Danio rerio: one gene and its partners. The protein of the gene in region 1 purifies or fractionates together with the protein of each later gene. This does not show direct contact. Links are inferred from orthologs where the notes say so. Each region holds a gene or a part of one and is shown on either strand. Other genes may lie near its edges.

Region 1 (3,033 bases):
CTCTCGCCGCTTTCGGTGTGAACGTACGGTTACAACAAAACAAGGGCTCTTTATAATTAAATGTAATGACCACGGGCCACCGATCAAGGATGTTTCACAGAATATTTTCAGTCAGAAACATAGTGAATTCCTTGATAAAACATGCTATTGTTGACGGTTTCATAGAAAAGATGTAATCACTACACGTAGATGTAAAGATTATAAACTGTCTGAAATTTTCTGCTGAAGTATGGTTTCACATAGTTTGAGACCGAGAGAATCCAGGACCCTCATGTTTGTGCAAAATCCTAAATGAGAATCATACCTCCACATCTGCGCTGTTATGTCTAAACAGAATGCAGGAAACAAGCTAACAAAAGCTCATAATAGGAGTCTTCAAGTCAGATAATGAACACAAATATAAAACAAAATAGGACCGGCTTTAATAGTACATGAAACTAAAATAACTTCCAATAAAGCACAAAATACACAGGAAATGATTTTCAAAATTAATGTTAGGACAATCCTTACACTGTCCGTTTGTTGGTGATAAAACTTGGATTGTTCAAACTAAATTTTCAAAGTTTTTTTTTTTTTTTTAAATTCAGACTTTAGTAGTGCACGAATCATCAAACAAAAGATCAATGACTTTTAATACACAAACGTTTATTCAGCCGAACTAAGCAACATTATAGTAAGAACAGATGTGTGACTGAGCAAAAGAGCGAACTTGACAGACCAGGACACGTCGAGTTAAAAGATGTACTGAAGATAAATCACACTCCTCAGAGTCTCTGCTACTACCTTTACCGTCACTGTGCATAGAGCCACACCGTAAAAACAGAAAACTCTAATCCAAAGATCTAAAAGCGTCATGTTTGACATACTCCTTTTTTTCTGTATTTTCCTGTTCTTTAATTAGAAATGAATTTTAACCCACAAAATCTGTGGTGCTGGTTACAATCTACCAGTAAACATAAAAAAATGGACCGAGTCCTATAAACCATGAAATACACACAGATATAGGAGGGAAGAGAGAGTGCACATGTAAGGATAGATATATTCACAGAAAGTACTCCAGCTCATAACGAACATACGAGTTCTTCTCATCGTTGAAGATTAGAGGATAATGTGCGATTAGAGCATCCTGGGAACCAATATAAATGGAGTTGTAGATCTTCCAGTAAACATCACGCACTTTCCGAGCAGGATGAAACAAACCCTTTTGAGTAAGAAAAAGGGGATGTAAGATAAGCATCCAAGTGAAAGAATTATTACATGAAAACAAAGAAACATTATAGCCCAGATACTATGTTTGAAATGTAACGCACCTGTAAGCAATACTGCAGCATTCGGCAGGGTCCAATTGCCACTCGCAGACCCTCAAGAGCCCCCATTACAGCTTGGATGACATGAGGAGACGTTTCAAAGACATTTGGCCAAACATAGTTGAGTAAATGATTAAGAGAATCTTCACAGCCGAAGCCATAAACCCCTAAAGACATGTGCTGCACCACAGCACTAGCAGTCTGTCTGTGTACCAGATCTCTGCAATGGAGACAAAGTACAGAAGTTAGAGATGGCTACAGAGTAAAACAATTAAGATCTAAATCAGACAGTCAGATAAAAATAATAGTAATCTGTTAAAAGACATGTTGTGCGCTCCCAGGTCATTTAAGTGGGCCTATTATGGCTCTTTTTAAAAGATGTGAAATAAGTCTCTGATGTCCCTAGAGTATATGTGAAGTTTCAGATCAAAATACTGCACAAACTATGTTTCATAACTCTTTGCAACTGCCCCTTTCAGGCTATGATCCTAATTGTGCCATTTGGGTGACTGTCGCTTTAAATTCAAATGAGATTGAGCTCCCAGCCCTCTTTACAGAATGCCTGTGTCAGTATAATGGCAGATACAAAAACAAGACTAAGGTCCTATTCTAATGAGGGAGAGTGTCCCTAATGGGCGGGGCTTCCCTCTCTGATGACATATACAAAGGGAGAACGCAGTTTAAAGTATTTATGAAGTGTGATTATAAACATTAAAATTAATAAAGTCTTACCATTAGAAGCTGATTATATGGTTATACAAGTAATGTTTGCACAATAGGTTCCCTTTAACAGATTATTTACACATTGCAGAACATATCTGTTGACAATTACTTATCTTTTAAACAATTGTGCTTAATAATTTAACTTGTTTTGGAAAAACTACATCAATCTATAATAGTGAATAAAAAATTGCACCAATCTTAAGTCTCATGCAAAGCTCCCCAACTCTTATGAACCACAGTGTTGACCAATGAGCAGGTCATCCAACACTCTCAAAACAACTATAATACTTCTTCAATATGGATATTCTGCAATAAACTTGACATTGCTTCTATAGATACTAACAATAGCTTCAAATGAACAGTCTTATATTGCTTAAAGGTGCAGTAGGTGATTGTCTTCAGGAACATTTTTTGTTGTGCTGGTTAAAAGTCACATTCCAACAGTTTTGATTAAAGTAAAGATCTTAATTTGTTTTTATGTATTTTTATACTCTGGGTAAAGCATAAGACAAAAAAATTTTCATCCTAGGGTTGGGCCAATAAACAATGCCATCGTCGACGGCCAATAGACAACACAATGCTGAGCCAGCACTGCTGATACTTCGCCCCGCCCTTGTCGCAAACCCGCTCGCGAAAAATACACACTTAGGCCCCGTTTACACCAATACGTCTTACTACTAAAATGCCATTTTAGAACGAAAATGATCCATATCCACACCATGTTTTACCTAGCATTTCTGAACAGCCCTCCACCTTTATCAAGGATGTACAGCTGGATCGTGTCTCACTTTAGTTGTTTAACATGATATTTATTTAATCTTGTCGCTATCTAATGACTCTTTGGTCTTTTGAATCTATCAGGTAACGTGTCACAGAGTCAGTACACTGCTTCAATCTTTCACTTTCACAGTTGTACTTGGTAATTTTAGTGAAAACCTCAGATAATGTTGGTTGTTTTTTAACCAACCAACCTCCTGCATAAAGTTCATCCAATTAAATATTG
Region 2 (3,291 bases), on another chromosome or scaffold:
GACTGAGTTTGGACACCCCTGCACTAAAGTTACAATAAAGACAGTTATGACTTTAAATCAGCATATTATTTCTGAAGGATCATCTGACACTGAATAATAGAGAACTGTTGCTGAATCTTCAACTAATTAAATATAATCAAATAAAATCAGATTTTAAGTTTCCCTATTTTACAATAATATTTCCTGTATTTTTGATTGAATTTAGCTTTTGGTGAACTCGGAATACCTTAAAAAACACCAACCTCAAATATTTGATAATTTGCTTTTTGTTTAACAAAATGAAGCCGTCACATAAGTGTTTCCAGTCAGAAACAATACTGTGTACTTTTTATAATTATTTTTTTTTGTGGGGGATTTCATCGATAATAGATAGAACAGTAGAGTACTGACAGAAAAAGCATGCAAAGCAGAAAAAGGGGGAAAAAATAAATAAAACATCGGCATAGGACCTCGAGGTGGGAATCAAACTCGGGTCGCCTTGAGCAGCAGAGTGCATGCATCGATGGACTAACCACTACGCCACTGGCACAATACTGTGTATCATACTAAATACAGTAGTCTGAAACAGTGAAAAAGGGGTTTATTTTGGAGATTTAGAAAACAACAAAAAGGTTTCCACAATTATAGGTCAGTCAATAATCCAAATATTGAGAAATGAAAACAAACATTAACAGCAAACAAATAATATTCATGTGGATCAATTGGACACACTCTGCAGCAACGTGATGTTGTCTCCTTTCAACATAATCCGTCCTGTTAAATACAAAAAAAAAGCCCTCATTGTGAATTTCTTCATAAATTTCTTTTATTTTTGCTTCTCTGAAATGCATATTTCACCACAAGTGTGAAGTTCACACTTACCCAAGGGCTTCCTGTTTTTGGTCTTCATGTGAACCTCCTCCGCATCGTCCAAAACCAAATTCATGTACTCATCAAACCCCTTGAAAGAAAAGAAATCATAGAGGCTTTTTAATAAGACGTGTGACACAGTTGATATGAAAAACTTCCATATTTCCATAAAAACAATCCATATTTAAAATGTGTAAATAAATGGGCATATCATGCATGGTGCACTGATGTGTCAAATATTTAGTTTTTTTTACAAAAAAAGTGTTCATTTATTTTTATTTATTTATTGCCACATCAGCAACCTTTGGCTGTTTCGTGGCAAAATGGATATAAATAAAATATTACATGATAAAAACATTAGTATTACAATAAAAAAAGTTACTTTAGGCGAATATATAAAATCAAAATAGATCAAATTCACAAAAAAATACATCAAAAGTTAAATATGATTTTTTAGTTCAATTTGTGATAAATTATTTAAAATTCTTTCTGGTGATACCTTTTTAAAAATGTCCATCAAAATACTCTCCTTAAATTTTGTCTAATGGTTTTTAAAACTTCCACATTCCACCAAAATATGTTTTATGGTAAAAGCAGCCCGGCAGTAATTACATTTAGGTAATAAAAAGAGTGTACATCAGAAAATAAAGAGCAGGACTGGCTTGATATCAATAAGTCAGCAAGAGTAATAAGTCACAAAAATTATTATAATGCCTTAAGCCTCATTCACACTACGAGTGACTTGCACCAGCAAAGTGAGTGAGCAACTTCTGGAGACCTTCTGAGCAGCGTGACCAAGTTGAGAATCTTTCAACTATGAAAAGCAACTTTCTTGAGTGATAGCCAACAGGAGCGCGAGTAGAGCTCACATGATCCTCTCTCTGCTCGCTCAGAGGCTGGTTGTGTTCTCCGTGCTCTAGACCTACACAGACCTGCACTTGCAGCAGTTCACCACCCTGAGCGGCACGCAGCTTCAAAGTCACTGCTAGTGTGAATGAGGTATTACTCACACATACATACACACACCTGGAGCATGTATACACTGAACCTTGGATTGCACTTGAATGGTCAGATGTGCATCGACTTATTGCATAATATCTGCATTCGTTTGTGCATTAGGTCTAAATATTTAAAAAACCCTGCTGCTGTGTGTCTTTCTTCTTTATCTTTAAAATAGATTTTAAAAACTTACAAAGAACTACACTCACCGGCCACTTTATTAGGCACACCTTACTAGTGCTGGGATTGCCTTTTGCCTTCAGAACTGCCTTAATTGCTGAAGAGTGAAAGAAAATATCCCCACACCATCACACCACCACCAGCAGCCTAAACAATTGACAGAAAGCAGGATGGATCCATGCTTTAATGTTGTTGACGCCAAATTCTGACCCTACCATCCGAATGTCACCGGAAATGGAGACTCAGACCAGGTGTCTTTTTTCAATCTTCTATTGTCCAATTTTGGTGAGCCTGTGTGAATTGTAGCCTCAGTTTCCTGTTCATAGCTGACAGGAGTGGCACCTGGTGTGGTCTTCTGCTGCTGTAGCCCATTCATCTCAAGGTTGGACGTATTGTGCATTCAGAGATGCTCTTCTGCAGACCTCAGTTTTAACGAGTGGTTGCCTTTCTATCAGCTGGAACCAGTCTGGCCACTCTCCTCTGACATCAACAAGGCATCTGCGCCCACAGAACTGCCCCTCACTGGATATTTTCCCTTTTCAAACAATTCTCTGTAAACCCTCGAGATGGTTATGCATGACAATCCAAGTAGATCAGCAGTTTCTGAAATACTCAGACCAGCCCGTCCTGCACCAACAACCATGCCGCGTTCAAAGTCACTTAAATCACCTTTCTTCCCCATTTTGATGCTCCGTTTGAACAGCAGCAGATCGTTTGGATAATTTCTATATGCCTAAATGCATTGGCTGTTGCTCAATATGCAATCTTTAGTGGTCTTGCGTCCTTGTAGTCATGTAATGTCATCATCAGCTGCCAAAGTTCAGTTCCAAAACTCAAGACTGCAAGAACAGAGGACTCGTGAAACTTCCCGAATGCGTTCTTGATATTGAGGATGCAGCGATGCAGACTTGAGCAACGATCTTGCTAGAATTCCCAGAAGTCATTGCGACTGGAGGTGGGAAGCGCCGCATTTTATTTAGATTTATTATTAAAGTTCAGAGATATCACTTATTTACCTCAGGAGTTTCCCTAAATGAAACGGTAAATATAAACATTACCATAGACATCTTAATAAAGGAATAAAGGCAATAAGGGTGTTTGTTTGCTGAAATTTGTATTAAAATCTGTTTTATTGATACTGTGCAACGTATATTTATAATGTTTTTATGCAGAGTATATATTTTGAAAAGGGGAAAAACAATAACTCATTGTATGAATGCTGTAATGTTTAAATTTTAAATTAAAACGAGTGAAGGTCACGTG
Region 3 (3,661 bases), on another chromosome or scaffold:
GGTACCTGATCCTCTTGTGTTATTTCATATTTTATTCATATATTCAGTGGCTCTTACCTAAGGATATGATTTGTTTTCATAATTTTTTTGTTTTTTTGAATAGGTCATATTTAGTAAATACACAGACATGCTTCCTAAGGAAGTGCTAAACCAAGATGATCCAGAGCTGCAGAAACCAGATGAAGAGGCAGTGAGAGAGGTAAGATTACAATTCAGTAGCAGTTTCTGATAGATTTCACAATTTTGTTTCAGTTTCACAATCATGCTTAAGACTGCTATAATGTACCCTTTTGTTTAAAAATTAAATACTATAATTAAATATTTACACAATTAATGCATGTCATTTTGAAATTATGTAAATGTTAACATTTTTCTTAAGTTACTGAAGTGAACTTTGAATAATAAGAAAGCTTAACAATTTTCTATCAGTGTTGTTTGATTTAATTAACATTAGGTTTGTTAGTCTTCATTTACACACTAGTGTCTAATATCAGGGTGTCTGCAGGGTTTTAAAAGTCTTAATGCTTTTAAAAGCAGAAATTTAGCCCTTAAAAGTCTTAAATTCACTAAAATATAGTGGCATAGGTCATTTCAAACCGGTCTTAATTTTCCTGTGTCCAAGTAAAGCTACCCTAACGGACTGACACCCAATAATCCATCTTAAAACTATTTTGTTTATATTTAAGCTTTTTATTGCAAAATTATACAATTCACAACAGCTTCTAGACATTTTTACAGCAAATTCTCCAAATTACATTTCCTAATCAGGGAATGAAAACTAATGCAACACATCCCTTTACATGATCTTCCATTAATATAAAAACTATTTACAGAAGTAACCAGGCTATTAAAAAAAGTCCCTATAAGGCTGAAATTTCACTCATATTGGCCTTGAAAGGGTCTTAAAAAGTCTTAAATTACACTTAAAGAAACCTGCTGAAACCCTAAATATACATGCACTGGCTTGAAATCCTTAACTTGCATTACTCTTTTGTACTGTGGTGTTAAAACAGCATTGATAATGGAAATATTTATGTTTTAATCAAGCGATCCTCATGAAATTAAATGGTCATTACGCAGAACCAGCATGAATTAACTTTTCTTTTTACCTCTGATGTAGCTTACAGAAAAGACCAGATTAGCTCTGGAGAAACAGGTTTCACAGAAAATCGCGGCAGCTATGCCTGTGCGTGCTGCAGATAAACAGGCCCCCGCGCAATACATTCGGTAAGAGTGACTTGTGAATGATGTGAAATTGTCGAATTTAAATAAATGTTCTGGTTTTAGTACAAGTTAGGCTGTTTTATCAGTATGATGTTCATTTACTTTAAAAAAAATATACTATATATAAACGTCTTTCTTGTTCTCAAAAAGTAAAGCATATCAGCTAGTGTTAAAAAGCTGTGATTATGTAAACGCATGAATAATTCGTTAAAACTTTTGTACTGTTAAAACAGTTTATTGTTTGAGCGTTTAAATTGTCAGATTCCTTTATGAGGTTGGAATAGTTGACCCCTTATGTTTTTTTTATTAATTTGGCTATAAAAAGACTGAAGAGACAATTATTTTCTCTGGTAATGGAGATTATGGTGCATATACTGTTGATGGAGAAAATTTGAAGGAGGCAGTGTATTTTTCTTTATACAGTGCATTCGGAAAGTATTCATAGTGCTTCACATTTTCCTATTTTTTTTCCACATATTACAGCCTTATTCCAAAATGGATTAAATTAATTTATTTCCACACAATTTCTTTAATTTCTAAATTCTACACACAATACCCTATAATGACAATGTGAAAAAGTTGTTTTTTTTTTTATTGTTGCAAATTTATTAAAAAATAAAACGCCTGAAAAACCACCTACAGAAGTATACACGGCCTTTAGGCTGATTTATACTTCTGCGTCAAACGTCGGCGTATGCTACGGCGTTGATGCATAGCCCTTCGCCGTGGCCGGCGGCGTCACTGACGTGCACCTCTCAAAAAATGTAACTACATGTTACAACAACAACAACACGTAGCGCAAGCTCTGTGATTGGTCGGCTTGGTATCGCTGACGAGTCTGGGCGGGACCGAGAGCCGTGTGAACGGCACTAGCCCAATGGAGCGATTGTTTACAAGTGTGGAGTCCCGTGAAGGAGCTCCGGATGGAAAGTTTTATTTTGTGTTTACCTCATAGTTAAAGTTGTTACACGTCCGCCGGTTCCTGCCTCAAAATGAGCGAGTTTGAGCCGCTGGTACATCCAGGAAGTGTTCAGGAAAAGCAAAACAGCAGCGAAGAGACTTCACACAGGAACACTTACACCTCACTGCCAACTAGCATTTCGAAGTGTTAATGCAGACCAACAGTGACAGCGCGCAGAAGTATAAATGCAAAGCTATGGGCGTTGCATGCGCCAATGGTTTCTCCGGTCACTTGACGCAGAAGTATAAACCAGGCTTTTGCGGTGAAGCTCCACTGATTATTCTTGAGATCTTTCAGCAGCTTAATTGGAGTTGACCTGTGGTAAATTCAGTTGATTAAACATGATTTGAAAAGGCATACACCTGTCTATATAAGGTCCCAGGGTTGACAGTGCATGTCAAAGCACAAACCAAGCATGAAGACAAAGGAATTGTCTGTAGACCTCTGAGACAGGATTGTCTCTGGCCACATGGCTGGGAAGGGTTACAGAAAAATTTCTGCTGCTCTGAATACTCCAATGAGCACAGTGACCTCAGTCATCCGTAAGTGGAAGGAGATTGAAACTACCAGGACTCTTCTTAGAGCTGGCCGGCTATCTTGGTGGAGAAGGGCCTTAGTCAGGGATGTGATCATTAACCCGATGGTCACTCTGTCTGAGCTCCAGCGATCTGTGGAGAGAGGAGAACCTTACAGAAAGACAACCATCTGTGCAGCAATCCACAAGTCAGGCCTGTATGGTAGAGTGGCCAGACGGAAGCCACTCACCATCTGGAATTTGCCTAAAGGCATCTAAAGGACTCTCAGACCATAAGAAACAAAATTCTCTGCTCTGATGAGGCTAAAATTGAACTCTTTGGAGTGAATGCCAGGCGTTACGTTTGGAGAAAACCAGGCACCGCTCATCACCAGGCTAATACCATCATTACAATGAAGCATGGTGGTGGCAGCATCATGCTGTAGGGATGTTTTTCAGCAGAAGGAACTGGAAGATTAGTCAGGATAGAGGGAAAGATGAAGGCAGCAATGTACAGAGACATCCTGCATGAAAACCTGCTTCAGAGTGGTTTTGACCACAGACTGGGGCGACGGTTTGTCTTCCAGCAGGATGTTGACCCAAAGCACACCGCCAAAATAAATAGACTGACTTCACAAAACTTGGTGAACGTCTTTGAGTGACCCAGCCAGAGCCCAGACCTAAATCCTATTGATCATCTCTGGAGAGATCTGAAAATGGCTGTACACCGTCACTTCTCATCCAACCTGATAGAGCTTGAGAGGTACTGCAAAGAGGCATGGGCACAATTTCCCAAAGACAGGTGTGCCAAGCTTGTGGCATCATATTCAAAAAGACTTCAGACTGTAATTGTTGCCAAAGGTGCATCAACAAAGTATTGAGCAAAGGCTGTTAATACTGATGTGCATGTGATTTTTCAGTTTTTTTTTTTTTTTTATTTCAAAAAAATTTTCAAATAAATT

What was found.
Region 2: the proteins of sf3b1 (region 1) and snrpe purify together in Homo sapiens (co-immunoprecipitation; 4 studies listed by BioGRID and IntAct, counting the BioPlex papers as one, with this or other methods). This does not show direct contact. The link is inferred for Danio rerio from reciprocal best matches to the Homo sapiens genes SF3B1 and SNRPE.
Region 3: the proteins of sf3b1 (region 1) and snw1 purify together in Homo sapiens (co-immunoprecipitation; 3 studies listed by BioGRID and IntAct, with this or other methods). This does not show direct contact. The link is inferred for Danio rerio from reciprocal best matches to the Homo sapiens genes SF3B1 and SNW1.

Annotation. Positions count from the first base shown.
Region 1 is NC_133184.1:33,841,311-33,844,343, forward strand, and holds the end of sf3b1 (splicing factor 3B subunit 1), read right to left. Parts: intron 1,528-3,033; coding exon 1,311-1,527; intron 1,202-1,310; coding exon 1,043-1,201; 3' UTR 625-1,042; downstream 1-624. UniProt on the Homo sapiens protein: Component of the 17S U2 SnRNP complex of the spliceosome, a large ribonucleoprotein complex that removes introns from transcribed pre-mRNAs.
Region 2 is NC_133186.1:40,127,081-40,130,371, reverse strand, and holds the end of snrpe (small nuclear ribonucleoprotein E), read right to left. Parts: intron 941-3,291; coding exon 862-940; intron 754-861; coding exon 698-753; 3' UTR 559-697; downstream 1-558. UniProt on the Homo sapiens protein: Plays a role in pre-mRNA splicing as a core component of the spliceosomal U1, U2, U4 and U5 small nuclear ribonucleoproteins (snRNPs), the building blocks of the spliceosome.
Region 3 is NC_133195.1:5,545,825-5,549,485, reverse strand, and holds part of snw1 (SNW domain-containing protein 1), read left to right. Parts: coding exon 1-1; intron 2-103; coding exon 104-199; intron 200-1,120; coding exon 1,121-1,227; intron 1,228-3,661. UniProt on the Homo sapiens protein: Involved in pre-mRNA splicing as component of the spliceosome. As a component of the minor spliceosome, involved in the splicing of U12-type introns in pre-mRNAs.